7 linked regions of the Oryctolagus cuniculus genome follow. The protein of the gene in region 6 purifies or fractionates together with the protein of the main gene of each other region. This does not show direct contact. Links are inferred from orthologs where the notes say so. Each region holds a gene or a part of one and is shown on either strand. Other genes may lie near its edges.

What was found.
Region 1: the proteins of HNRNPR (region 6) and HNRNPA1 purify together in Homo sapiens (affinity purification with mass spectrometry; 7 studies listed by BioGRID and IntAct, counting the BioPlex papers as one, with this or other methods). This does not show direct contact. The link is inferred for Oryctolagus cuniculus from reciprocal best matches to the Homo sapiens genes HNRNPR and HNRNPA1.
Region 2: the proteins of HNRNPR (region 6) and LARP7 purify together in Homo sapiens (affinity purification with mass spectrometry; 4 studies listed by BioGRID and IntAct, with this or other methods). This does not show direct contact. The link is inferred for Oryctolagus cuniculus from reciprocal best matches to the Homo sapiens genes HNRNPR and LARP7.
Region 3: the proteins of HNRNPR (region 6) and HNRNPU purify together in Homo sapiens (affinity purification with mass spectrometry; 3 studies listed by BioGRID and IntAct, with this or other methods). This does not show direct contact. The link is inferred for Oryctolagus cuniculus from reciprocal best matches to the Homo sapiens genes HNRNPR and HNRNPU.
Region 4: the proteins of HNRNPR (region 6) and DDX5 fractionate together in Homo sapiens (co-fractionation; 3 studies listed by BioGRID and IntAct, with this or other methods). This does not show direct contact. The link is inferred for Oryctolagus cuniculus from reciprocal best matches to the Homo sapiens genes HNRNPR and DDX5.
Region 5: the proteins of HNRNPR (region 6) and ILF2 purify together in Homo sapiens (affinity purification with mass spectrometry; 3 studies listed by BioGRID and IntAct, counting the BioPlex papers as one, with this or other methods). This does not show direct contact. The link is inferred for Oryctolagus cuniculus from reciprocal best matches to the Homo sapiens genes HNRNPR and ILF2.
Region 7: the proteins of HNRNPR (region 6) and SNRNP70 purify together in Homo sapiens (affinity purification with mass spectrometry; 3 studies listed by BioGRID and IntAct, with this or other methods). This does not show direct contact. The link is inferred for Oryctolagus cuniculus from reciprocal best matches to the Homo sapiens genes HNRNPR and SNRNP70.

The regions. Positions count from the first base shown.
Region 1 is NC_091442.1:57,220,030-57,224,206, reverse strand, and holds the end of HNRNPA1 (heterogeneous nuclear ribonucleoprotein A1), read right to left. Parts: intron 3,784-4,177; coding exon 3,628-3,783; intron 3,418-3,627; coding exon 3,362-3,417; 3' UTR 3,352-3,361; intron 3,105-3,351; exon of another isoform or gene 2,409-3,104; intron 992-2,408; 3' UTR 579-991; downstream 1-578. UniProt on the Homo sapiens protein: Involved in the packaging of pre-mRNA into hnRNP particles, transport of poly(A) mRNA from the nucleus to the cytoplasm and modulation of splice site selection.
Region 2 is NC_091439.1:52,302,064-52,305,841, forward strand, and holds part of LARP7 (la-related protein 7), read right to left. Parts: intron 3,727-3,778; coding exon 3,608-3,726; intron 764-3,607; coding exon 604-763; intron 455-603; coding exon 363-454; intron 1-362. UniProt on the Homo sapiens protein: RNA-binding protein that specifically binds distinct small nuclear RNA (snRNAs) and regulates their processing and function.
Region 3 is NC_091444.1:64,895,677-64,899,881, forward strand, and holds the start of HNRNPU (heterogeneous nuclear ribonucleoprotein U), read right to left. Parts: upstream 2,860-4,205; 5' UTR 2,596-2,859; coding exon 1,905-2,595; intron 1,055-1,904; coding exon 943-1,054; intron 856-942; coding exon 782-855; intron 1-781. UniProt on the Homo sapiens protein: DNA- and RNA-binding protein involved in several cellular processes such as nuclear chromatin organization, telomere-length regulation, transcription, mRNA alternative splicing and stability, Xist-mediated transcriptional silencing and mitotic cell progression.
Region 4 is NC_091448.1:14,230,142-14,232,669, reverse strand, and holds part of DDX5 (probable ATP-dependent RNA helicase DDX5), read right to left. Parts: intron 2,407-2,528; coding exon 2,265-2,406; intron 2,188-2,264; coding exon 2,027-2,187; intron 1,951-2,026; coding exon 1,778-1,950; intron 1,418-1,777; coding exon 1,307-1,417; intron 1,108-1,306; coding exon 1,046-1,107; intron 966-1,045; coding exon 906-965; intron 1-905. UniProt on the Homo sapiens protein: Involved in the alternative regulation of pre-mRNA splicing; its RNA helicase activity is necessary for increasing tau exon 10 inclusion and occurs in a RBM4-dependent manner. Binds to the tau pre-mRNA in the stem-loop region downstream of exon 10.
Region 5 is NC_091438.1:44,650,849-44,655,233, reverse strand, and holds the start of ILF2 (interleukin enhancer-binding factor 2), read right to left. Parts: upstream 3,013-4,385; 5' UTR 2,946-3,012; coding exon 2,941-2,945; exon of another isoform or gene 2,895-2,940; coding exon of another isoform or gene 2,884-2,894; intron 2,563-2,883; coding exon 2,512-2,562; intron 2,386-2,511; coding exon 2,326-2,385; intron 2,088-2,325; coding exon 2,045-2,087; intron 1,386-2,044; coding exon 1,281-1,385; intron 947-1,280; coding exon 869-946; intron 550-868; coding exon 447-549; intron 4-446; coding exon 1-3. UniProt on the Homo sapiens protein: Chromatin-interacting protein that forms a stable heterodimer with interleukin enhancer-binding factor 3/ILF3 and plays a role in several biological processes including transcription, innate immunity or cell growth.
Region 6 is NC_091438.1:147,595,881-147,599,658, forward strand, and holds part of HNRNPR (heterogeneous nuclear ribonucleoprotein R), read left to right. Parts: intron 1-2,387; coding exon 2,388-2,564; intron 2,565-3,778. UniProt on the Homo sapiens protein: Component of ribonucleosomes, which are complexes of at least 20 other different heterogeneous nuclear ribonucleoproteins (hnRNP). hnRNP play an important role in processing of precursor mRNA in the nucleus.
Region 7 is NC_091449.1:8,223,438-8,227,893, forward strand, and holds the start of SNRNP70 (U1 small nuclear ribonucleoprotein 70 kDa), read right to left. Parts: upstream 2,829-4,456; 5' UTR 2,562-2,828; intron 2,050-2,561; 5' UTR 2,040-2,049; coding exon 1,893-2,039; intron 1-1,892. UniProt on the Homo sapiens protein: Component of the spliceosomal U1 snRNP, which is essential for recognition of the pre-mRNA 5' splice-site and the subsequent assembly of the spliceosome. SNRNP70 binds to the loop I region of U1-snRNA.

The sequences.
Region 1 (4,177 bases), on a different chromosome or scaffold from region 6:
TTCCCAAGCCAGGAGTGGAGACATGGCTGTTGGAGCAGCCTGACACTGGCTTGCTGTCCGAGTGCCCACTGGCTCTAAACCATGATCCTGAATGCGGCAGTGTCAATGCAGCACACCGTCTCAGTCAGGAACCAACCCCCATTTAAAAGCTGCCATGTTGGGCAGCTTGTTCTGCCCCCAGAAGGGAAAGGCAGTCAGTTGATCTGAGACATGGAGTCAAGGCAACTGCCTGTGGCTGGTGCCACCACACAGCAAGTTAAAGCCCCAGTCTGTGGTGCTGGCATCCCACATCGTTGTGGTCCAAGTCCCAGTGGCTCCACTTCTAATCCAGTTCTCTGCTATGGTCTGGGAAAGCAGTGGAAGATGGCCAAGTCCTTGGGCCCCTGCACCTGCATGGGGGATCCAAGAGGCTCCAGGCTTTGGATTTTTACAGCTCTGGCTGTTGTAATCTGGAGAGCAAACCAGAATATGGAAGATCTTTCTCTGCCTCAATGTCTTACCAAGACCAGTTTATCACTGATATCCTACATTTTTGAATCCCTAATTTAAAATGGGAAAATAACATGAAGCAGACCAAGTATTTATAAAATGATTTATTATTCATAAAGCTCATTCACAAAATGGAATGAATAATTAGAGCTGCAAAACAGCTAGTATCAACTGCATAGCAGTGAGAAATGGAGTGGCTCAAAGGTTGTCCTCACAAGGATGTTCCTGCAAAGGAAAGAGAGGGGTGAAGTCGTTAACGCATTAGGACAGGGCTCTGTCATCAGCTAACTGCCACCACTGGGAATCTGGCTGCTTTGGTTATGGACAATTGGACCTTGTGCTTGGGTGTTGGTAATTCTCCCTTTGACTTTGGAAATATGGAGAACTCTTGGCTGGCCATTATTTTATAGAAACTTACCTTTCTAGCCATGGACAGGAGTTTCTGGGTTTAATTATAATTATTTTTTTAATAAGAGCTGATAAGCGTGTAGCAGATTCTTCCCTAGAAAAGTAAACAGCCTTTAGAACTGGCTCTTTTCGAAGACAGAGTCCCATCAAGCTAAACCACCCCCACCCACTAATGGTCCACCCACCCAGCCCTCCCCCCATTTTGGGAAGATTCCAATATATTAATTTGAGCCATTATTTCAAGGAAATGGGTAAAAGGACAGCAAATAAAATTAAAGGGCAAAAATAGATTATCACAGAATTAATTACTTTCTTCAATTAGGAGCCACCAATAGGGTGTCAATTTCTCCAGAAAAACCAAGTTCAGCTTAACTGGACTAGTTTTGGCTCAATATATTAAGGAAAATTTAACAGAATACTGGATTTTAGGTTAACTTTATGGATGTAAGTAAAATCTGTTCTTACCTACCAGCATAGCAATAAAACCTTTCCTCCTGGTTCTGACTGCTAGTCCTAAGAGTCAGGTGTGCCTTACTCTCGTCTGCCTCCTTTCTGGCGATGGTCACTCAAACTTCACTTCCTCCTAGCTTTCATGGAGGGTGCCGTGGCCTGCCCCTGGCTTATCTGTGCTCCACATACCACAAGTGTCTACTCTCAGCTGTAGAGTCTGAGCTCGGAGCCATTCGCGCTATGCTTGCTAGCAGTTCCTAGTAGCTGAACATCTCTCCTGGATCTTTAAAGGCATTGTCACGAATCCTGATGTATCTGCAAACTCCCTCAACAGTTAAAGGTTCCACCTGCTATTGCAAACTCAGCCAGTATCATGAACTACCGTCCACGCTCACCCACCCCCCACCACCTTCCACCCACCTCCCTCCCACCCTCCTCCCCAATGTTCCAACACACCCCTGGGATGGCATATACAGTCCTACTAGTAAACAATGATCTATACTACTAGATACAATGGCACTGAAATTAAAGAGGGTAGGCTTCAAAGAACCTATTTACAAATAACAATTATTGGGTATCCATGAACTATGAAAGGTTTAGAAATCATTATCTATATATACAATTAACACTTTCAGATGATTGTGTGGTCTTGTGTCATGTTTAAAGGAAAACTGCAGTTAATATGAAATTATACAGAAACATTTGTTCCTCCCACTTCATGGTTTTAATCCCCCCAACCAGTGTAATCAACATACATTTCCACAGACCGACCCACCCACACACCGACCCATGACCCAGCAGAACTGCAGTTTTCCTTTAATAAAAACCTGTTTATATTGAATTCAAGTCTTACTGGTACCGGTATTTTTTAAGAAATGTCTCTTAAAACACTTCTAAATCTTTGTGGACTTAATGGAGTGGAAGCATTAGCCAGCAGCTGGCTTCTATTCTCTGGCAGAGTTTTGAACTTGCATTGTGGTAGGATTCAACATTATCAGGGGTGGAGGGTAGGGAAAAGTCCAAATCTCTGCCAGTCCCAAATCCATACAGTTGTCATTCCATTCAAGAGAATTAAATCGTTTATTGATTACACATGATAATGGATGATACACAGCTTCATTCCCATCTGTAATTTTATCTGGTACCATTATTCAATTTAGATATATTGCAAAGGATGTGCCAACAATCATTCTTATAACCAAATAACCCCATGACTTTGCTTGGGTGGCTTTTAATGGTGAACTTCAGAAGGTCACAACAGTAACTCATGTATCTGAGAACAGCTTCTCCACCCGAGCATTTTGTAAATAAATCTCAAATGGAACCTGGCATCACCCTGATGAATTCTGACTTTACACTTTTTGGGGAAGTTTACCAAGATGGCTTCAGAGTAGACTAACTTTACACAGCACATTTAAAAAAAAGACACATTTATTCAGCGTCATGATCAGACTATTACATTTAGCAATCAACAGCATGGGTGCAAAAGAAAAAAAAAGAAAAAACTACATTAAAACCCTTTGTTGGAATGCTTTACACTTTCCACAGAACAGAAACTAAAATAACCTGTTATACAATTAGTCACAAATACAGTCCTCGAGTTTTTTTGCCCATACACATGAGTATTGTCTAAAACATGTCTTCTTTGTAGCAGCTAGGCCCTGCCACCACTGTGCTTGGCTGAGTTCACAAATCTGTTGTAACCTGTAGCTTCCCTGTCACTTCTCTGGCTCTCCTCTCCTGCTAAGCTTTGTTTCCTGTTGAACAATATGGAATAAAGTTGTTAATCTAAACATATTAAGACTCAAGGCTACAATCCAATATTAAGTTGTTTCCCACAAATTTTGCTCATCTGAATTATCAATATTATCTGAACTTAATACCCACAATTTTACTGCAATATTATAATGTTAACTATGCCACACTGCTTAGCTACATTAGGGTTTAGCAGCGATTATAAAAACTTAAAAAAAAAAGCACACACAAAAAAAGGTGTTTACTTACCTGGCAGTTATTAAAACCTTCTGCCACTGCCATAGCTGCTGCTGCTGCTAGAACCACCATAGCCACCTAGAACAAGATTGGGCCTTTTAACCTCTCAAGTGCCCACGGCAAAAGCCCTGCTTTCATGTTCAATGGGATGAGACAAGTTCAAACTTAGGAGTGACTATTTAACAGCCTTAGCGAAACCTGACAAGGGCAGCACCATCAGCTATGCACCCAACAAACCAACTCCTTTCCCTTTTACTTGCTCATCTCCCAGTTACATTCATACCATACCTTGATTTCGTGGTTTGGCAAAATATTGGCCGCCACCACCATAGGGGCCAGAGCTTCTGCCTCCAAAATTTCCTCCCTTCATGGGTCCAAAATTTGAAGATTGATTGTTGTAATTGCCAAAATCATTGTAGCCTCCGCTGCCTCCAAAATTGCTTCCTAGGGAACAGAAAGATGGCCTTTGTGTGTTACTTGAGAAGGTGACTGAGAGTACCCAATTCTGCTCAGTGTTCAGAATTAAAGCTTTTATTATCTGCCTGCTTCCTCCCAAACTCAGGTGGCTGCACATCTGCATTTTCATTCTCTGGACAAGGCATTCAGTTGAATAATCCAGAAGTTTTACAAAGCAACCCAGTTCACCGCATTAGAAGTTGAATTTTTCCTAGTGGCAACTAGAGGTGTACTCTCTAGCCTCACAGGCCTTTGTGCATGCATCCAGGCCACTGCCAACGGTCAACGGTCTTGGATGTATCAACTAAGTGCCTGCGGTCCCAAGGAGTTCCACACACTAAACCCTGCCAAGATGCTAACTCACTCACATCACAGACACCAC
Region 2 (3,778 bases), on a different chromosome or scaffold from region 6:
CTTATCTGTAGAGTTTCGTATCTTTATAAACTATAAATACACCATGCTTTTACCATTAAGACATTCTATAATCATTTATGTCAAACAAAGCAGAGCAGCCAGAAATGAAGACCTTGTAAATTTAAATTTTATCAGTTTTTCAAAAAAGGAAAAAATGGGAAGCTCTAATTAAAAGTATGTATCCCTGTGGGAAAATAAATTTTAATTTCATACATTTTGTAGCCAAGATAAAGACTATTCTTTTTCAACCTAAAACAGGGTACTCTGTAGGTTTCTGTTATGTAGAAGCAAAACTAAAGTTATCTACTCACTACTGACTTTCAGAATCTATTTAACCTCCAAAACCAATATGAATTGATTACCTTCTCAGTGCCTCTCTTCTTCTCTCGAGGTTGATTAAGTTTGGCCTGTCTGTCTACCAAAATCTTCTGCCAATATCTCTGTTCATGATCACCTTAGAAATGAACAAAAACTCTGATGTTTGAATATAGGATACTTAAGGAAAAAACACATTTAAAGCATTATATTCTCAAACTCAGAAAATATGATACAATCATTCACAATTCAGAATTGTTATAAAAATAAATTTCTATGAAGTTTTACCAGAAAGGACTTCCAATTTCCAGCAGTGTTTCTTCTTGATTTCTGTGTGTGCATTCATTACTGCTTGAGCATCCTCAGGAGTTTTAAATCTAGCATGGCATTCTGTATCTCCTTCTAGCAAATCAACATAAACAACTTCCGAGACTGCAGCCAAAGTATCCTGCATTGAAGTTTTGCAGAAAGTATTAAAACTAGTAATAAAAATGCTTCATAATAACTTTCAAATTATTCCAGTGGTTATATCAGATTATATGTCATTATACAGAGTAATGAGGAATAAATGCCTGATATAAATCATACCTAAAATATACACTAATGTTTTGACAGATATGGACAGAGAAGATGACCAATTAACAACAACTCTAATCAAAATTTATTTTCCTTTGTATCTTTACAACATTATTTTGAAACTATGAACTACAATGGGAATATTATTCAACAAGGGCAACACATCTGTAGAGCAGAAAGTACAAACAGTCTCCCCCACTATCACAGGAGAGGGTTCAAGTCCAGGGTTATTAGTAAAAGGAAACAAAAGGAAAAAAAAAAGATTTAGAGAATTTTTGTTTTCACTTACCTGTATAAAATCACTTAATACTGAAATCATGTGTAAAAATGTTTAAAGTTTTTAGAACAACTCATGGAAAAAGGTTTCTTTATTAAACCTAAAAAACACCCTGGGTTCTGCAGTGGATCTACCAGAGTACAGCTCAACAAAGGTTTTTGTTAAAATACCTAAATAACTTCTTTTAAACAAGTAGTGGTTACCCAACAAGGGAAAAGTCTTACATATAATGCCTGCTGTGAGGGCAAATTAACAAGATTCCTGCATTCTTAATCAACTTTTTTTTTCACAGCAGGTTCCACAGAGAACACAAAGCATTTATGCAGGAATGTTATGCTGCTAATTCGTAATTTACCATAAAGCTTCCATTCATAAAACTAAAGAAATAAGGAGATTGTCTACTGTAAAAAAAAGTCTTATCTCACTTTATTTTTGACACAAATTTTCAAGAAACAGCTAATTTAGATTATTCTTAGTTGCTGAATTCTTAGATGACTGTATTATGGAAAGAACTGAGCAATATCTGGAAATACTATTTCATCATAGACTAAGAAAAGTTTATTAGTTAGTAATAAAATTCCGTGAGTCTCTAGAAGCCACAGATGAGCTTAATTCATCCCAATACTTAGTTTACCATCTATCCCAAAACAAGCACTTAGTAAATATTTGCTTAATGATTAAAAAAAAAAAACTGGAAATATACTTGCCAATTCTTCCCATTTTGTTATCAAGTAAATTAGTCCTAAATTTAGAAACAGAGCAAGAAAAGTGGCATTTAATTGGTGAAACCTGAACGTGTTCTCTGGTTGTAGTGAGTTTTATAACTATTTTTTTTCTGACAGATTAGAAGATATTTACTAAATATCCATTATAATGTCAGGCTAATCTCCTGATTTAAAACCCTTAGAATTTAAAACCCTTAGAATGATAAATTAGCCTGGAAATCACACTGGCAAGTCACAGACAGCAGTAATCACCATCGTAGCTCAGGTTTTGTTCCACGAAAAGTAAGTAACTACTAACTTGATTAACACAGTTATTTTATGATTCTGAGGATCATAAATGAAGAATGTGTAATTATTAATTACCATTCAGATAATGTCAATTGATTCCAAATAACAAGCTTTGAGTAATGTTTGTGTTAAATCATTTGCAATTTAATCACAGCAGAATTCATGTTACCACCCTACTCTGAAAGCAAGCTGCCCAATGACAATTTGGGATTGGCTAAATAACTTATCAATATTGGAAAGAGGGTAAAAAATTTATGTCTTAGTGATGGCTGCAGGATATTAGGGTAGGGTTTCAGATAAAGAGTGCCTAGACAAGATCACAGTGAACAACAACCAACCTCAGTGGTTACTAAAAAATGTGACTGGTGTGGTCCATGTAAAACAAAAACAACACATTACATGGTGCTGAGTATCAGTATAAAAGGATTAAGAAATATTTGTTAATGTTATAAAACATTTCATAAATTTAAAAAATAAGTGCCTCACCTAAATAGGTGACAGGGTTACTTGTGAGTAAAATATGGTAATCTCACACAAAGGAATATGATTTCATTGATAAGAAAGAAGTATTGCTATGTTGGTATAAAATGCTATAGAAGAAAAACTGCACAAAGTGAAAAAATATGATAGACCTGTATGTATGACAATTTGAGTATTAATAACATAGAACTATGGATTTAGTTGCACATAAATGTAAAATAGCTTTTCAAAAATACCTATAACTCTTTGAAAAACTTCAAACAATCACCACGGATTGAAAATACTGAAAAAAAAAATTACAAGCCCATTTTCTAGAAAAGTTTCTGTATTCTTTCAGGACAAAGGCTTCATTAACAGACAAAACCAGGTCCATCGTATATTAAAAATATACATATTAATCATTTGGAAATCTATTAAAAAGTATGAATATCAAGAAAAGCAAATTTAAAAGTTCTCTTAATATGCTCCCAAATGAGACAGCATGAAATGATTACATTAAAAATGATTTCAGACCAGCTCTAATGTTGATTAAATCTTTAAAAATGTTTTGGTGCCAAATATTTTTCTAAAATCCATATTTAACAAATAAAGTATTCTAAAAAGTAAGTATTGGGAAAGCATTTCCTGTATCTAGAATGACCATAGGCTATTTTCTTATTCAATCTCACAGCAGACAACAGGAGTACCAGTAAAAATATGCACAAGTTGCAAATTTCCTGTACAGAAGGATGTTTGGCTGTTCAGTATAAATTCGATTCAGAGAGCAATTTGAGTTTAGATTTTGCTTCAGGTTAAACTCAAGAGTTACCACAGAGTCAAAATTCTAAAGGTAGTTCACCATAAAAATACAAACTGTAATTTCATTTATTTCTTATATTCAACCCATTTTCACATGGGGAAGCAAGAGGAGAAGAGGACAAATACTCCAGGGGTTCAAAAGCATTACCCGGACTTGTTTCCTGCCAGGCAGGGGCTCTGTGCTAAGGATCTTCACAATCACTCCACTCACAAACTGTGGTCCTGTGGCATTAACCTTCTCCTGGGGGCCATGCTCTTCACAGCTGGCTGTTGATTTCAAAAGAAAAGAGCAGGAATAAATCTCTTACACTTTACAACT
Region 3 (4,205 bases), on a different chromosome or scaffold from region 6:
CGCCTTACCAGAGCAACTTGACATTTTAACTTTTCAAGTACGATTTCTACTCTTGGTTCTATTTCACACTGGAAAGACTGGTGCATCCTATTCTGATCAAACGCTAACCCAACGTAATTTAAGTAAAATCTGACAGCCACGGCCCATTTAAAGGTTTGCAATAATTCCGCATACTCGATTGCAACCCAACTGGGTAACGTAGTATTTACAGTGCTGCCATTGATACCATTCGCTGCTGAAGAAAGCTAGTGGCCCAGTGATGGCCCACTGCTGCTGCCCCAGGTCTTTGGAAGAAATCAACTTATGTTAAAGCAGCAGCTACTGAACTGGAATTGAGAACAAAAGAGCAGTTATTGAAATAGTATTACAGTCTTTTAGAATAGGGAATATACTTGAGTGCTAATGGGAAAAGTCATCAGTTAAGTATTTAACCAGCCCAAGTAGCTGACTTAACAATCCCAAAATAAAAGGAAATTACTGTAGGACACGTTAACAGTTTCCATTAGCTAACTAGTCCAAAATTGGCATCAATTTCACATTCAAGAATAAGAAGCTTTAAATTACAATTAAAATTGCCAAAGCCTGTAAAATCAATTCAACACAACTGATGGCATATTAATATTAAACTACTGCACTCTGGGTATCAATCATTATCTTTGCTTTTTAGAAAACTGTACATGTTTTCTGCACTTAGGTTAAACGTACTGCAATCTAACATTGTCAAAAAAACCCAAGGCATTTGAGGACTGCGTGGGGGAGCGGGTGAAACAGCTTCACTTACAAGTATCAAGACAAACCACTGTGTCATCGAAGTGCTCATCTTCTTCTTCAACGGGGGGCTGAGGAGATTTGGCTCTGAAAGACAGAATGGGCTCCTGATACGTCTCTGCCCACCCACGGAGAACGGGCAACAACAACGCACAATCCGTTAGCATCCTCTACCTGCTGTACTTGTTCTCTTCAATGTACTCAAAATATCCACGGCCATGATCTTCTCGAGGTCTTTTTACACCTCGCTTTTTATCTCCGCCTTTCTGCTCTGTTTTGCCGTCTCCTATAACACACGACACTCTCATAAGTGCTCAAGCCACCCAACACCCCCGCCAAAAGAAAAAAAAGCCGCTTTTATTTCAAGTTGCCTAAAAGCATCGAATTAATGAGTTTTGGGTGAATACTGAACCGCCAGGTCGAATGTGAATTCAAACTATCAGCTTGGAATTGGATTGGAGTTAGTGACGCAGCCTAAAGACGTTACTAATTCGGCCCGTCTACCGGAGGCTTCAAGAAAGCTTAAGCGCAACTGCGCGCCGGAGGCCCCGAGCCCACGTGGATCCCGACGAGCGGTCAGGAGGGGGAGGGGCGCGGGGGCGGCGGCCCCTCCCCCACCCGGGCCCGCGCAGCCCGCGGCCGCATTGTACGGATCTTCCGCCCCGCTCGGCGCGCCGGCTCCTCCCGCCGGAAGTGACGTCACGCCGAGCCCCTGCGCTCCTTGCACAATACCGCGGCGAGGAGCCGCCAAAGCGCGCCCGCCCCGGGACCTCGGGCCTCTCCCCTCCCCCCGCCCTGAGCCATGTGCCCGCACCGCGCGCACACACAGCGCGGCGGCGCCACCGCGGGCCGACGGGGCTCCTCCCCCCCTCCCGCGGCAGCTGCAGCTCCCCCGCCCCCACCCCCGCCCCGGCTCCCGAGCCACATAATGGAGGCGCTGCCACCGCCGTCACACACGCACACGCACACACACACCCCGAGCCCCAGGCCTCTCGGCTAATCTGGGATTCCCCGCACCCCTCCCTCCCCCCACCGCCGCCCACCCAGCCACCAGCGGGGGGCTCCGGCAGGCCGGGGGCCCGGTCCCCACCCCACGCGGGCCTCCCGCCGCGCGCAACGTACAACGCAGCACTCACCCGCCGCCGGAGCCCCGGGGCGACCGCCTCCTCCGCCGCCTTCCGCCTTCTTCTTACCTCCCGCCTGCTGCTGGCCCTGCCTCGCCCCGGGCGGCGCCACCGTCACCGCGAACAGCGAGGTGGGGCCGCTGCTCTTCCCCGCGGCCTCCTTGGCCGCCCCGCGCTGCTGCGGAGGCTGTTGCTGCGGCGCCGCCGGCGGTTGAGGCTGCTGCTCCCCGTGCCCGTTCTCGTCGCCCGCGCCCTCCTCCTCGTCGCCGAGCTCGTCCTCCCCTTCCTGGAAGCCCTGATCATCGCCGTTCTCGTCTTCCGAGGCGGCCTCCTCCTCCTCCATCGGGCCCGACTCGGCCGCCCCCGCGGCCCCGTTCTCCTCTCCTAGCTCCATCTGGTCGCCATCCAGGGCGGCGATCCCTTCCTCCTCCTCTTCCTCCTCCTCCTCGTCGTCGTCGCCGCCGGCCGCGGCCTCCTGCTCGAGGCCTGCTCCCGAGCGCCCGGCGGAATCCCCGCCCAGGTCTAGGCTGCCGTTCCCGGGCTCCATGGCGGGGCGGCCCCCGGCCTCCTCGTCGTCCAGCGCAGCCTGGAGTCGCTCCATGAGCTCGGCCTTGAGGCCCTTGTCGGAGAGGCGCCGCTTCTTGAGCTCCTCTTTCAGCTCAGACACCTTCAGCTTTTTTACATTAACAGGCGAGGAACTCATGATGAGGGCCCCGATTCGCGGCAGGGAGCTTGGCTCGGACTGGGCTCCGCTCACTCGGCCACTGGTAGCGGCTGCTGCGGCTGCTCCTCGGTCCGGGCGGCGGCTGCGGCTGGAGGTGGGTTCGTGCTGCAGAGAGGACCCGCCTGGTGTCGAACGGCGCCAATTCCTTTCACCGAGTTCGCGAGGGAGACGCGGAGACTCGCCTGGCGCGAGCGAGCACGCAACGTCCTCTCGCAGGGGCGGCGCCGCGCACGTAATATAGCCGCCCCGCCCCCCGCGCTGACGGGCGCGCCGCGCAGCAGGAAGGCGGGAGCGCGCTCGCGCTCGGCCCCGCCCAGCACCGTCCCTGCCTCCCCGCCCCCACGCCGAGGCCCGGGTCGGGAGCGCGGCACAGGCCGCGCAGTGCGCTTCCTATTGGGTGCCGAGCAAATGGAGGAGAAGGAAACCGCCTTTCGGTTTAACCGGCCCGCTGCAAAGTCCACTGGGTTTCTGCCGAGGGAGCTCGTTCTGCTCTTGGCCTCCCAGCCTGGGCGGCTGCTCGGCTTGAAATGCTAGCAGAGCTCAGCTTGGCGTTTTCAGCTCGAACCCCTCCACCTTTTCTTCCATCTTAGTATTGCCGTCCTGGGTGCCCCTCCTGCTATACCGTTTTAAAACGCCTCGGGATTTTATTTCCGCTCTGGCTTGTCTAACCCAGCCTGGCAGTCAGCACACGGAGAGTTGGTTCGTCCCTTCTTCCCCCCCTCTCCCCCCCCACCTCCGGCCTCGTATCTCCTTTCATTTTTCTAAGCCGGCCTGGCGAATGGCCTTTTAAATTCGGGAAGCCTTTCTTTTGTGTCTTCGGCAGCCCCCGGTGCGGGGCCTGGGAAAGCGGCTTCTCCCCTCCTCCGGTCTGCATCCGCAAAGCGCGCTCTTCGCGGCAGCCACACGCATGGCGTCAGTGGCCTTGCAGAGGCCTCTGTGGGGCCTGATGTTTGTCATTCAGGCCCGGGCGTGCGGTGAGGAGGGCGAAGCGCAGCTAGGACCTGCCACCCGTGGATTTTCTCCCTGTCCCCGCGGGGACCCAATGGTGCCCAAACCAAAGGCTCCTGAGATGGAACAGGGCGACAGTCTGGCAGACGGGCCATGAGAGACCTCGCTCTCAAAAAGAAATCCGTGATTGGATCGTGGTTGAAGTTTGAGAGTGGCAATCCGGGGTAGCATCCTAATCCCCCAGCGTCCCCACAGTGCCAGGCCAGCGATCCCCGTGGGAATGAGGAAAGAGACCTGCTGCACAAAAAGACTGCTGTGCTATTGATTTGAAATGTGGAAGTACAGAAATGCAAATCTTGTCCCGTAGGCTGAGGTGATGTAACTGATCCACAAATGTTCGTTTTTAAAAGCTGCTTTTCAACAGTTTTTAAGAAATGTGTCTTACCCTGTATTCAGGCATAAGGTGAAATACTGACATCCGTGAGATTATTTGAGTTGAGATTAATAGTGTGCAGTACTGGTAATCCTCAAATTAACAGAGGGGACTAGGACAGCCCGGAAGTAGAAGCGTCCAAATAGTGTCAGAAATTCACTTGGCCTTTGGCTATGTTGCTGAAGCTTGCCAACAAGCCACAGACGAA
Region 4 (2,528 bases), on a different chromosome or scaffold from region 6:
ACAGCAACCTCTTCATGTGCTCATTTTGAGGACCTTTAAACAAAAATGTACAAGGTCCTTTGCATTACACACTCATCGGAAGTTCAAAATTCAGGCCACACTGCTTGTCTTGCCAAGACCTTACAACCGCAGCTGCAAGAAAAACATACCTGTCCCCCAAAAGTTGTTTTTATGCACTGTGTCTCGTCTAGGCAAGCGCTTCCAAGAAGCCAGGATTCACTTGAGAATGTGTCTCTCTCTGGCAGGTCTCGACATGACGACTACTGTGTCACAAGGTGAGGGAGGAACTTTCAAAGCACTGTTTTCTTTTCCCACTGATTCTAAGTGTGAGAAGTTGCTCCTGCTCTAGGTCTTATGTGCCAGTACTCACCAATTTGTAAAAGGCTTAGTACCTTTTAAAGCTGCTCTCTCCATTTCAAACTTGAACAAAAATTTCATTGAACATTGAAGTTTGGAACTATTTCTTCGACATTTCAGCAAACTCACTGAAACTCAAAGACCCACAGATCACAGTGAACAGTTTCAAACAATGCTGTACCATGGCAGTCATGCAAAGCATGGGACGGAAGAAACCACGGCAGTGAACTGTGAGGGTACTTCCATTGTTTTCCCCCGGAGAGAACAGTTTATGGGGCAGAGGTGATATGTTCTGCCCTTTGAAGATTACTGGCACACTTTCAGTTTTTCACCTCTCTAATCGACTGGAAGCAGCCAGCCGATCACTAGTCCTCCATCCCCCTCGAGTCCTCCGATTGTCATGCCTAGGCCTTGCCACAAAGACTGCACCTTTATGTGAAAAAAACTTAGAAAAAATGCAGAGGTTAAAGAAAGCAATAAACTTTCTTTAGAAAAACTATATGGAGATCTTCTGGGAAACCAAGCCATGAATGCGAGTTTGTACTAACCTAGCCCTCTGGAGGCCACATCTGTAGCAATCAGAATAGGAGCTTTTCCATGTTTGAATTCTACAAAGGAAGGCAAATATACGATCATTACTCTGAAGCCTATCTTAAGAAAAAAAATTTTCTCCTTTTGAAATACTTACCATTTAGAACCCAGTCACGCTCCTGTTGACTCTTGTCACCATGGATACCCATGGCAGGCCACCTAAAATAGAAGATTTATCCTAGTAGGCTCATGCTTCAAATCAGATTCTCATGCTTAACCATTTTTGCCAAGCCTCAATTTCACTGACAGCTTTACCCAAACTATCAGATTAGCCTTATCTATGAAACCCACAACCATCCTCTTGGCTCAAGTTTGTTTGCCCTTTCCTAAAGGACTATACATGGAGAATCCCACATACCCATCTCTCCTCATTTTTCTGGTAAGCTCATCACATCTTCTTTTGGTTTCAACAAAAACAATGGTTTTATTTTCCTTCTCACTCATGATCTCTTCCATTAGACGAATAAGTCTAGACAAAACAAACGCCTGAGTCTTAAAACAAGTCCACAGTTGGGGCTGCACATTTACATTCAGTGAAACATTAAGTTCAATTTTGCATGGCTCCAAGTCAAAGAGGAAACACCTGTAGGACCATCTGACAATCCTACCCTGGGTCCTTAAGTAAACCACAAGACACATGACTTTCATCTTCCTGTAAGAATGCCATAAATGGAACAACCAATTACAGAAGGACATGAAATCTCAAGATGGATTGGCGGACTTAATTTTACATGAACCTATTCAGATTACATCAATTGAAAGTCAATTTTGACATAACCCATGAAAGCTACTCAACCACACAAAGCCATTAAATGTATATAATACTTACTTTTCATCCTTTTCTACATCATGACATACATCCACTATCTGAAGAATGTTGTGGTTTGCACTCAATTCCAGTGCTCCAATGTTTATATGAATGTAGTCTTTCAGAAAATCTTCAGCAAGCTGTCTTACTTCTTTTGGCCATGTAGCACTCCACATTAGGGTTTGCCTATCAGGCTAAGACAGAGAAAGGATTACACTGTACTCCAAAAGTAAATTTAGACTTGTGAAAAGTGACATTAAGGGTACTTACTCTTATCTGATCCACAATCTTCCTTATTTGGGGTTCAAAGCCCATATCAAGCATTCTATCTGCTTCATCAAGGACCAGGTAAGTTGTTCTTCTCAGATTGGTTTTTCCACACTCTAAAAAGTCAATCAGTCTTCCAGGTGTTGCAATACAGATTTCCACACCTTCAAATTAAATGCATAAACGTTAACACATAACATTTAGCACTGGTTAGTTGACAAACCACCTTTTCCTTTCCTACCTCTCTCCAAGTCGCGGATCTGTGGTCCCTTGGGAGCACCACCATAGATGCAAGTAGACTTCAAGCGACAAGCTCTACAGTATTCAGCAGCTACTTGCTGCACTTGCTGAGCCAGTTCCCGAGTTGGTGCCAGCACCAAGCACTAAAGCAAGAGGAACAGCTTTTAGCACAGACCCCAGATTGCTAAGTTAGCTGCACTGGCAGATCCTTTCTCCAACTGTGCCATCAGATACCCAGAGCAGCCCCAGCTACGTTCAGTGAGAA
Region 5 (4,385 bases), about 100 Mb from region 6:
CCACTAGAGTGAGAAAAAGGGAGACAGGTGCTGTAATAATCTCGTTATCATGTATGCTTTCTCCGTATCTGCAAGATGTTTTACACTCTCATTTCTGCCCTACATTCAGATAATAAATACTTTAACGAGGGGCAGCTAAGGCCTGACCAGAAACTGAAGGCTTAGGGAACAGGATCCTTCTATTTTATGGACTGGGTTTTCAGATCGGGGGCAAAGATAACATTCTGGATGGGCTCATTCTTTTGCCTCCCCTCCCCAGGCTGCCTCCAGTTGAGAAATACTGCCTTATAGAACCGGCCATACATTCTTTCACTCACTCCAGTTTCTCCTTTGTCATGTTGTAAAAAGAATCTTTTCTCACAAGAAAGCTGAGCTTTAAAGAGCCTAGGCCTCAAGCCATAGAACCTGCCACATTCCGTTCCCACTGTCACAAGACAGACACTCACACGTCGGCAGGATCTTGAGTATCACCACCAGGTCAGCCACATTGTGTCCTGTAGTCATTGTTCCCTTTTTGTAAGATCCTACCTGCCGGACTTCTTCAATTTGCTGTTGGGAAAGAGATTTCAGGAAAAAAAATTTCAGATGCCTCGATGCTCTCAGAACTCTGTGATAGGTAACAGCTTCCTATTACTCAGACTTGGAAGTAGCAAAGGTAAAATCCTACCCCAAGAAACCACATGAAAGCCTGGCCCGTCATGGCCGGCTGGTATCAACACAAACCGTATCCCCAGGATCAGTATTAACAAAGAAAGGAATCCCACTGTACTGTCCAGGTTCAGGCAACTGAAAAACTAAGAGACAGGAGCCAAGGAAATCTGCACATCACCAAGGCCGCCCTTTCCTGGGGCTGTCATCAGAAACTCACCACTTCAAATGTCCCCGGAGCCACAATCAAATTGTCAATCACATTGTTTATTTTTGTCACCAGAGAAAGGATAGAAGCCTGAAAAACAGTAAAATCCCAAAATGAAAAGTTGTAAGCAATTGCTCTGAGTTTGGATATTTTCTCCTGATCCCTTCTGTGGAAGCTGCCAGCCATCAACAGAAGGTTCTAAAAACAACTCAGTGCTTCTGGTCTTGAACTTGCCACAGACAGATTCCCCAGTGAAAATACAAATGTCTATGCCATGTGTTTAAGACGCTCACCTCGCTCCCCATCTCCAACCACAGTGAGACAAGAATGCAAGCTTTGGTGGGCCTCAGGCTCAGGGAACCTATTCTTACTCTCCACTTCCCTTCTGTGGAGAAAGCTCAGAAAGGGAGCCACGAGCACACACCTGTTCGGCAGAATTGGGAGCAAGGTCCTGATTCCTCTTCAGCAAAGCTTCACTGAAGGAAGTCTCATCAGGGGCCGGCTTGACCCGGGGGAAAGCCATTTCACACTAAATCACCAACAAACAAGTATAAACCATTGACCACCAACAACATACAGGAGAGACTGGTTTTATTCCTCTATTAGTGCAACAGAAAAACTTGAACACAGAAAATTCTGCAACACTTGCGGTGCAGTGGGTTAAGCTGCCACTGGCTTCTGATAACAGAGTCCCGGCTGCTCCACTTCCAATCCAGCTGCCTGCTAATGATCTTGGGAACGCAGTGGATGATGTCCCAAGTTCCTGGGCCCTTGTCACCCATGTGAGAGACCAGGATGCAATTCCTGGCTCTTGGCTCCAGCCTGACCCAGCCCTGGCTATCGTGGCCATTTGATGAATGAAACAGTGGATGCAAGATATTTATTTCTCTGACACTGTGCTTTTCAAATAAATAAATCTTTTGAAAAAACCTTCCAACAAGGACCCAGAAGAACAGCCATAATTTATGTTCTTACTACCTTTATATTAACAAATAAGCCAGAGATGCAATGAGTTGTTCAAAGATTATAATCAGGTTATTGCCAAGTATGCTAACACACAACCCCAAGGCCGTTCCCAAATCCCTTCTCCTACTGCGACCACCATGTCAGGGGGCTGTTGGCCTCCACCACTTCTCCATCTGCTGGTGACCAGGGGTCAGGACCCGTTCACCAACCCAAAGCACTTACCAAATAGAAATCAAATGGGATATGCGGCACAAAGGGCCTGAACCTGCAACAAGACAAACAGCTCAAATTATTCAGCACACAGCAATCAAGCAAGATGTACACGATGCACCAGCAATTTGGAAAACACAGACGCACAGCTTGCGGAGGGCCGAGTGGGCTTCTGAGCAAGGCCCGCAGCAGAAGCAGGGTGTGACCCCGCAGCCGGCTCGCACAAAAACACCCTCAGACCCCGCCAACCTCCTCTTAGGTGCCCCAAACTAGCAAGGAAAACTGGCACTCACCCTCCGCCCGGGCCGCCTCTGGAGCCGAAGCGCCCACCGCGACCACGGCCTCTGTCACCCCTGGAAATGCACAGACGTTACTGCCTGGGAGCCGCCGCGGCCCGGCCTCGCTTCCCGCCGGCCGCCCGCCGCCGCCCCCTCCCACCCCGCGTCCCGAATGGCGCCCGGCCCCCCACTGCTCGTGACCTCCTGCTGCCGGACGACTTATCCGCCAGGTAACAGCGTCGCGCAGCGCCCCTGCGAGAAAGACCCTATAACCCGGGGGCACGCCAGCCCCCAAAGCCGGCGCTCAGCGCCCCGGCCGGGCACATGCCGGGCGTCACACGCGGGCCGTCAGGACCAGCGCCGCACGCGGGGAAGCTCCCCCGGCGGCCTGAGCACGACGCCCTCGCGGAGGCGGGCGCCCGCCGCCTCCCCGCCCCGGCCCCAGCCCACGCCGGGCCCGCGCTCCCACCTCCACCCGCCGGGCTCCCCGCGCTGCCGGCCCCGGAGTTCGCGGGGTTCCGGCCGGCCGCAGAGGCGCGGCCCTGCCCGGTCCTCCGACTCCTCTCGACCCACCTTCCCAACATTCTCGGTCGGATACCCACAATCTTTCCAGCACCTCGGTCCCCCTACCTCATGGCGCCCTTAACACCGAACAATGGAGGCCGCACCAACCGCCCCTTTCCTCAGAGAAGCAGACAACTGGAAAGGCGTCTGGCCGGCGTGTCCCAACAAAACGCGCTGCGATTGGCTCCCGCCTTGCTCTGTCGCTTATGCTTATTGGTTTGCTTTGGAGAACCGGGCTTATGGACCAATAAAAAACGGCTATCGTGCCAGGAACCGGCCAATAAGAACAGGCGTGACAGTAATTACAAATTTTTTGAGCCAACACTAGGTGGCGCTGGATAGACTTTAAAAACGACGAACAAGTGAATTGCCTTTTATAATAGCGGGAAGGTTGGTGTCCAGTAGCAGAGTGGCGCAGCGGAAGCGTGCTGGGCCCATAACCCAGAGGTCGATGGATCGAAACCATCCTCTGCTAAGGGCTTTGTTTTTCGCTTCTCAGTTCCACATGCTGCTACAGTACTCCCTCCTTTAAAACCATCTCGCCAATCTTTGCTGCTTTTGAAACGCATCTTCTGCCTCTACCGCCATCGTGTAAAAGGTACCTTCCCTAGAAGGGAAGGAGTGTATGGACTGTGGTGGAGAAACAAGCTTTGAGGTGTTAGAAGGAAAATTGACAAAGTCTTGGAATGACAAATCAGAGAAGGAGAGTCAAGAAAGTGGCGGGTCCCGTCTTCTCCTGTTCCTGTTTTTTGCTCCTGCAAATCCTGGCATGATCCCGCCTCACCCTCACCGGCCACACGGACACACGGTATTTGCATTTCCTTAACGTTTGTTCCTCCTCGGCGTCCCCTCTCACTCACTGGGGGGGGGGGGGGGGGGGGGCCTGCAGCCCCTTGTGGTGGTCCCCAGAAAAGTGAGGCCCGAACTGGAAACAACCTAGAGGTATTTACACGTGTCTCGGCGAGTTGGCCGTACTGAATTCATGGAGAGTGGATGACAAATTGGTCTATGTGTACACAACGGAGTGCTACGAAAATCTAACAAGAGCAGATCGCTGACGAGTGCAAAAACATGGAGGAACCCGGACCGTGTCAAGCGAAAGAAGCCAGACGAAAAGAGAATACATACGATGCACCCTGATCAGAGGAACCAGAGCGGCTGCTTTCCCGGCCAGGGCAAAGCAGAGTGAAGGAACTTGCAGTGAGCGAGAGGGGACATTAACAACATTAACCAACGCTGAGGCGTGGAAAGGTTACAAAAAGCCCAAGTGATGGCATCGATTTAAATGCAAATACTGTGCATCTGGCAAGTGAAGCTGTGAGGCGGGATCATCCCAGGATTGGTAGGATCCCTCCTTTGGATCTTCCATCAGGCCCTGAGCACCATTCCCACGCCCTAAAAGGAGGACCCAAGCCTGGGTGTGTGCTATCCTTTCATCCTTGGATAAATCCTGCTTCTCTGCTCACCTCTGTCTCCTTCTCCCAGTTGTATCCTCACACATGGGAAGACAG
Region 6 (3,778 bases):
GTCCTTGAGCCATCTTCTGTCACCTTAGATGCATCAGAAGCACAGAGAAGCCAGGACCCGAACCAGCACTCTGATACGGGGTACTGATGTCACAAGCATGACTTAAAGTACTGTGTCATGGGAACCCGGGGCTGTGGTGTAGTGGAAAAAGTAGCAGGTAAAGCCACTGCCTGCAGTGCAGCGTCCCATATGGGCGCTGGTTTGAGACCTGGTTGCTCTACTTCTGATCCAGCTCTCTGGTATGACCTGGGAAAGCAGAAGGTGGCCCAAATGCTTGAGCACCAGCACCCATGTGGGAAACCCGAAGCAGCGTCTGGCTCCTGGTTTCCTATCGGTCCAGCCCTGGCCGTTGCGGCCATTTGGCAAGTGAATCAACGGATGAATGATCTTCTCTCTCTGCCTCTGACTCTGCTTTTTGTAACTCTATTTTTTCAAATAATAAATCTTAAAAAAAAAAAAAAAAGGGCCCCAGGACAGAGGAAAGAAAAAAACTACTGTGTCACAACACTGTCCCCTTTGACTTTAATTTTGATTTACTGTTATTGCAAGCTTATTTTTTTTAATTCAAAGACTTATTTTTTATTTTCATTTTTTTTATTTGTTGAGAGACAAAGCTCTTACATCCGCTGGTTCTTTTCTCAAATGCTGGTAAAAGCCAGAGCTAGGCCAGGCCGAAAAAAAAAAAACAGGAAGTCTGGAACTCGAGTGGTGGGTGGCAGAAACCCAAGCTCTTGAGCCATCTACTCCCTCCCAGGGTGCACAATTAGCAGGAAACTGGATTGGAAGTGGAGCAGCCCAGACTTGAACCAGGCATTTCAGTACGGGATACGGCTAACCCACTGGGGACTTAACCACTGTGCCTAATGCCCTCTCTAGTATCTTATAATTTAATTCTACTCCTTATATAATTTTATAATTATACTGATTGTAAATTATTCATATGAGAAAAAGGTTTTTTCTGCCCCTTTAAGTTTATTGTCTTGATAGAGAAGGAATAGATTGAAATCTGGAATTTCTAAAAAATATCAATGTCATTATTATTTTTTAAGATTTATTTATTGGGGCCGGCGCCGCGGCTCACTAGGCTAATCCTCCGCCTTGTGGCGCCGCCACACCGGGTTCTAGTCCCGGTCGGGGCGCCGGATTCTGTCCCGGTTGCCTCTCTTCCAGGCCAGCTCTCTGCTGTGGCCAGGGAGTGCAGTGGAGGATGGCCCAAGTCCTTGGGCCCTGCACCCCATGGGAGACCAGGATAAGTACCTGGTTCCTGCCATCGGATCAGCGTGGTGCGCCAGCTGCGGCAGCCATTGGAGGGTGAACCAATGGCAAAAGGAAGACCTTTCTCTTTGTCTCTCTTTCTCACTGTCCACTCTGCCTCTCAAAAAAATAAAAAAAAATAAAGTGGCGCCATGCTCACTTAGTTAATCCTCCGCCTGTGGTGCCAGCATCCCATATGGGCGCCGGGTTCTAGTCCCCTCATCTTCCAGTCCAGCTCTGCTGTGGCCCAGGAGGGCAGTGGAAGATGGCCCAGGTGCTTGGGCCCCTGTACCCACATGGAGACCAGGAGGAAGCACCTGGCTCATGGCTTTGGATCGGCACAGCACTGGCTGTAGTGGCCATTTGGGGGGGTGAACCAACGGAAGGAAGACTTTTCTGTCTCTCTTTCTCACTGTCTACCTGTAAAAAAAAAAAAAAAAATTATTTATTTACTTGAGAAGCAGAATTACCAAGGAAGAGACAGCTGGTCTACTCCCCAAAGGACACAATGGCCAGAGCCAGGCCGATATGATACCAGGATCCAAGAGCTTCCTCCATGTCCCCCAGGTGGGTGCAGGGCCTAAGCACTTGGGCCAGCCTGCACTGCCAGGCTATCAGCAGGGAGATGTGAGGTGAGAATACTTGGGAATAGCCATGTCAGTTTTTATTTAAGCTACTGCTTGCAGTGCTGGCATTCCATATCAGTTTGAGTCCTGGCTACTCTGCTTCTGATTCAGGTCCCTACTAATGTGCCTGGGAAAGCAGCAGAAGATGGCCAAGTATTTGGGCCCCTGCCGCCCACGTAGGATGGAGTTCCAGGCTTTTGGGTTTGGCTTGGCCCAGCCTGGGCCATTGGGGTCATATGGGAAGTGAACTAGTGGATGGAAGCTCTCTTCTGTCTCTCTGACTCTGTCACTCTGCCTTTCAAATAAAATAAATAAATCTTTAAAAAAATCCTAAGATCATTATAATAAAATTAGGATTCATTCTGTAAGTCAACTGCTAGATTCATATTATTACCATTCTTCTTTAACGATCTTCTACCTCCACCTCCTGCAAATAGGGGCAGTTATGCTTTATAGTTCAAAAAGCAAATGCTTATGTTGGATTCTAATAACAAAGTTTTATTTCAGGTCTTTGTTGGTAAAATACCCAGAGATTTATACGAGGATGAATTGGTGCCTCTCTTTGAGAAGGCTGGTCCAATTTGGGATCTGCGTCTTATGATGGATCCACTGTCTGGGCAGAACAGAGGGTACGCATTTATCACCTTCTGTGGAAAGGAAGCTGCACAGGAAGCTGTGAAACTGGTATGTGATAAATAAACATCCATTGTTTAGCAAGCTATTATTTGAGAGAATAAACTCAATTAAGAATGTTTGCAGTTAGTGTTGTCTCATTTTCTTTAATTGTTCCTTTGAATGTTTTTATATTCTTAGTTGGTATATGGCCTTTGCTTTAGTTTTTATGACTCTAAAATAAATATATTTAAGAAATAATGTATTTTAGAAAGTCATGATTTTGAGAAGTTATCCATTAAGATTGATTAGTATCAAAAATTTTATTCAGATATTTGATTCCTTAAATTCTCTGTTGGTTTTTAGAAAGTTGTCAACTTTTGTTGTTAAACTTCAGGATGGGAGTCTTAAAATATGAAGGTTGGAATGGGTTCTGGAGAATAACAGTGGGTGATAGTGACTTTGGACTCAATTCAGAAAAAAATAATCTTTTCTTTTTGGCCCAGCCCAATTATACAGTTGGTGTATTTCCTAATTGTCTTCTTGCTCTTTTTGTTCCCAGACCATTGAGTCCTGTCTGACTTTACTCTCTCTCTCTCTGTATTTCACTGTTTTATAGCCAGTCTATTGGGTCTTCTTTGTCTTTAATATTTCTCTCCTTTTACTGCTTGATAGCCAATCTTCTAGTAATTTCCTCTCTAGGACTTTTTACAACTTTGGGCTTATATAAATAAAAGTAGTAGAAGTAGTAGGGAAAAGTTCTGTAAATTATGTCTTCATTTCTACTATATACCGAGATGTTGTTATCCGAGAATCTTAAAATAACATTTTTTTTTCATATTCTTGACAGACATCCATCCAAAGGCTCACTTAATGTAGTTCTAGCCCTTCTAGAATGGGTAATCTCCCTTACCAAGGCTTTTGGACTCAAGAGTGGGCCTTGAGTTAGTTTCTTCCTGTCTTGACCAAGATTTTAGTTCTTACTAGGCATTTTTGCCTCCAAACTTGTTCATTTAAAACTAAGAAATTTCCAAAACTTTATTTCTTCATTTTTGGCAAAATATAGGTAATTTTAATTTTTTAAGTAATACTATCTTTTTAAGTTCTAATGGGTAAGTAATGTTAAAAGCATAAGAAGCTAAATTTTGACAAGGGAACCCTTCACTATAGTGATTTAAATAAAACACTTTCTACTAATAGCTTTTTATACAATTTTGCAAAGATTATGCTTTCATAGACAATTAAAACTTTATATATTTAGAATTCTGTGTTTTGTATAGAATGTG
Region 7 (4,456 bases), on a different chromosome or scaffold from region 6:
CACTGCACTCCCTGGCCACAGCAGAGAGCTGGACTGGAAGAGGGGCAGCCGGGACTAGAACCCGGTGCACATATGGGATGCCGGTGCTGCAGGCAGAGGATTAACCAAGTGAACCACGGCGCCAGCCCCAGGTGTTTCTTTTGAAAACCCCAAGAGCTGACACATGGCACAGTGAAGCTGCCACCTGTGGCGCCAGCATCCTCTATCAGAGTGCCGGCTGGAATCCAGCTGCTCCACTTACAATCCACCTCCCTAATGCGCCTGGGAAAGCAGCAGACGATGGTCTGAGTGCTTGGTCTCTGTCATCCACGTGGGAGACCTGGACAGAGTTCCTGGTTTCTAGTTTTGGCCTGGCCCAGCCATAGCTTCTGCAGCCATCTGTGGAGTGAGCCAGTGGACAGAAGACCTGTCTCTCCCTCTCTCCTTCTCATTCAAAATAATCTCACTACATTTATTGAAATTTTCAATCTTGGGCTGTTGCAGCAGCGTGGAAGATGAAACCTCTCTACAGCGCTGCATCCCACACAGGCACTGGTTTGAGTCCCGGCTGCTTCACTTCTGGTCCAGCTAAGGCCTGGGAAAGCAGCAGACGATGGTCCAAGTGCGTGGACCTCTGCACCTTCACAGGAGACCCAGAAGAAACTCCTGACTTCTGGCTTCAGACCAGCACAGCTCCAGCCACTGCGGCCATGTGGGGAGTGAACCAGTGGACGCAAGACCTTTCTGTCTCTCCCCTCCTCCTCTGTAACTCTGCCTTTCAATTAAATAAATACTAATTCCTTTAAGATAGTCTCACAGGTCCCTGTCTTGCACCGACGACGACGTGTCTGAGGACGTGACAAAGCAGAGTGGGGGCGGGGGCGCTTGCTCAGGAGAGCAGCAGCAGGAGCTGACACCTGGGCACGTCCTGAGGGCCAGGCAGCTCTCTGAGCCCTCGCAGCCACTCCGTAGGCAGCGATCACCAGACAGAGTTGCTGGCCTGTGCCCATTAAATTAATTTAATTGGCTAATAACACTTCCCAAGCACGAGTTCACTGGGAGTGGCCAATCCAGTAAGAGCCACCTTGTGTCACCTCGGCTCTGGAGCCTCCATCGCAGCCTCTCCCTACAGCACTGGAGCGGCCTGTGACACGGACCGCCCTGAGGCGGGGTCATCACCCGACCTTACAAATGAAAACACTGAGATCCCGGAGCCTAAGCTGCACCAACGGTGACCCACAGTGCAGATCTGAGAGCCCCAGGCTACGGTCTTAATTACGCCACCCACACAGTGCCAATTCTTCAGGAACGACACTCCGTTAACAAGAACGGCAAATACAGGGGCCGGTGCTGTGGCACGGTGGGTTAACACCCCAGCCTGCAGCGCCAGCATCCCATAGGGGCTGCCAATTCGACTCTCCGCTGCTCCACTTCTGATCCAGCTCTCTGCCACGGCCTGGGAACGCAGTATAAGACGACCCAGGTCCTTGGGCCCCTGCACCCGTGTGGGAGTCAGGGAAGCTCCCGGCTTCGGATCAGCTCAGTTATGGCTGTTGCGGCCATCTGGGGAGTGAACAAGTGGATGGAAGACCCCTCTCTCTCTAACTCCATCTTTCAAATAAAGAAAAATAAATGTTTTAAAAACATGGCAAATACAGTCACAAATGCTGACACGTATCGACTGCTTGGTACCAAGCGCTCTGCCGTAAATGCTATTTATTCTCCGTCCTGCTGTCAAAGACAGCGAATGCATCGTGGGGATTCTGTACCGCCCAAGACCACACAGCAGAGAAGCACCCGGCGTCCGCGGCCGACCCCTCCCGCCGCGTCCTCCCCAGCGCCTTCCAGGGGCTGCCCTGCCAGGCCCCCCGAGGCCTGGAAGTGTCCACAGCCGCGAAGCCGGCCTGGCTCACCTCGAACTCCCGGATGTAGGGCGCGATGCCGCAGTAGGGCTGGTTGTGGTGCTTCTCGTGCGGCAGCTTTTCCAGGGGCGGCAGGTAGGGGATGGGGTCCCGGGGAGCGAAGAGGGCCAGGAGGTTGGGCGGCAGGAACTGGGTCATCTTGCCAGGTCTGGGGAGAGAGGGTCAAGGCCTTGTGGCGGCTGCCTCGCCCGGGGAGCGCGCCGCCGCCGCCGCCGCCGCCGGGGGAACAAAGGCCGAAGCGCGGGCGAGCGGGCAGTCGGGGCTGCGGCCGAGGGAGGCGCCCGGGGCGGGGGTCGCAGGCGCTGGGTAGCCGGAAGTCGGCGCGCACCCCGCTCCCCGCCCCCACCACGCAGGGGCTTGTGGGTAGCAGGTCTGGGCTCCCGGCGGCGAGAGGCATTGTGGGTAATGGTCCAGGGCGCCCCGAGAAGCGAGGGAGGGGGCGGGGAAAGGGCAACAAACGCGCAAGGGCCTGTGGGAAGGGGACGGCGGCGGGCGGGGGCGTGTTTTGGGGAGAGCGCCGAGTGTCCGGGAAATTCTAGGCGAGGGCCGCGGAACGGTGCTGCAGGGGGGACGCGGCCGTCAGGGAGGGGACCCCGGCCCACCGCAGGGGCTTGTGGGTAGCGGCCCCGCACCCCCTCAAGACCACTGGGTCCCACTCACCCGCCGCGCGGTGCCCTCCTCGGCCTGGCGTCGGTCCGGGGGCTCGCGGCGGCTGCGGCGGCCCTTCAGCAACAAGCACTCCTGCTCCGGCTTCGACTCCGGCGCCGTCGGACTCGGTCGCCCGCCCCCCGCGCGCGCAGCAGGCCTCTGCTCGCGAGCCCGCGCGGCTTCGGCTCGCAACGGGAGCAGGAGGTGGAGCCCGGCCTCAAATCCCTCCGCCGTCGCCCTGCGCACGCGCAGCGCCAGCCGCGCGCAACCGACCTACAGACACCGGGGCCGCCGCGGGCACGGCGCACGCGCGAGGCCCTTGCCCCGCCTCCCGGCGCCTTCAACTGCGTGCCGCGGCTGGCTGCGGCCGTACTACGCACGCGCGCTCGTCCCCAAGCGCCGCTTTCCACCTCGCGCCTGGACTCCAACCGCCTTTGCCCGCGAGGCTCATCCCGAAGCCCCGCCCCCTTACCTAGCACACTTCCCGGATCTTTGGCGCATGCGCATTGACTAGAGAACGGGTAATACCCTTCCGCCACCTGGCAAAGAGTCCCTACGGGAATAGTGTTGGTTGCGTTGATCGTCCGGCTAGTGGGCGTCCAGCAATCGCTGTTTAGGCGCTGGAGGTGTGAAAACCTGATTTTTGGTTCCTTACTTTGTACTGAGGGAGAGTGTAAAGGTATTTAGATGAAAAATACAACTTCAGGTAGTGGCCATCTCAAGGACAAGAGCAGGGTGGGGGGCGGGAGGGGACAGCGAGGGGGACAGAGGCGCCCAGGGCGATCGGGGCGCGGCTAACGGCAGGTGCCCAGGGCCTGAGCTGGGACGGGCATTTCCTGGGTGTCCTGCATGGGCACTTGGTCCCAGGACCGAATTCTGCCCGTGAGTGTGAAATGGCCCGCTGCTCACTTAACGATGCCTAACACAATGTGAAGCCTGCGCCAAAATTATCCTTTATCATTTAGGGCATGAAGAAAAGTCTGCGTGTTCAGTACAGACGCGCTGTTTGCTTTCTGGAATGTTTCGGGTGCACAGCCCGTGGTGGTGGAGAGTGGACCGCACTGTGCTTGATGCCTTTAGGGGGAGCTCCGTTGCCTCGTTCATGATACCCAGATTACTAACTTCACTTTTTTGGCACAATTTTTACTTATTGGGAAGGAGAGGGACGCAGAGCGGTCTTGCTGGTTCACCCCCGAGACGCCCACGACAGCCAGGGCTGGCTCACAAGTCCTGGGGCGCATTGAGTGAGGTGCGGTCGCCGGGACCTGCGTGGGCGTCGTTTCTGAAATCCTTGCAGGGGTCAGGGGCTGGCGCTGGGACACCGGGCAGCCCCACCGGCGAGGCTGGCGTCCCAGCTGCTGCGTTTCCCGCCAGCTCCCTGGCCAGGGGCCCGAGCAGAGGAAGACGGCCTGTGTGGGAGGCCTGGGTGGGGTCCTGGCTCCTGGCTTCAGCCTGGCCCAATCGCAGACATTTGGGAAGCGAACCAGCAGACGGAAGATCTCTGTCTCTGTCTCTGTCTCTCTCTTTTTTTTTTTTTTTTTTGACAGGCAGAGTGGACAGTGAGAGAGACAGAGAGAAAGGTCTTCCTTTGCCGTTGGTTCACCCTCCAATGGCCGCCGCGGCTGGCGCACCATGCTGATCCGATGGCAGGAGCCAGGTGCTTCTCCTGGTCTCCCATGGGGTGCAGGGCCCAAAGACTTGGGCCATCCTCCACTGCACTCCCGGGCCACAGCAGAGAGCTGGCCTGGAAGAGGGGCAACCGGGACAAAATCTGGTGCCCCAAGCGGGACTAGAACCCGGTGTGCCGGCGCCGCAAGGCGGAGGATTAGCCTAGTGAGCCGCGGTGCCGGCTTCTGTCTGCCTCTCCTTCTCTCTCTATGTAACTCTGACTTTTAAATAAATAAATC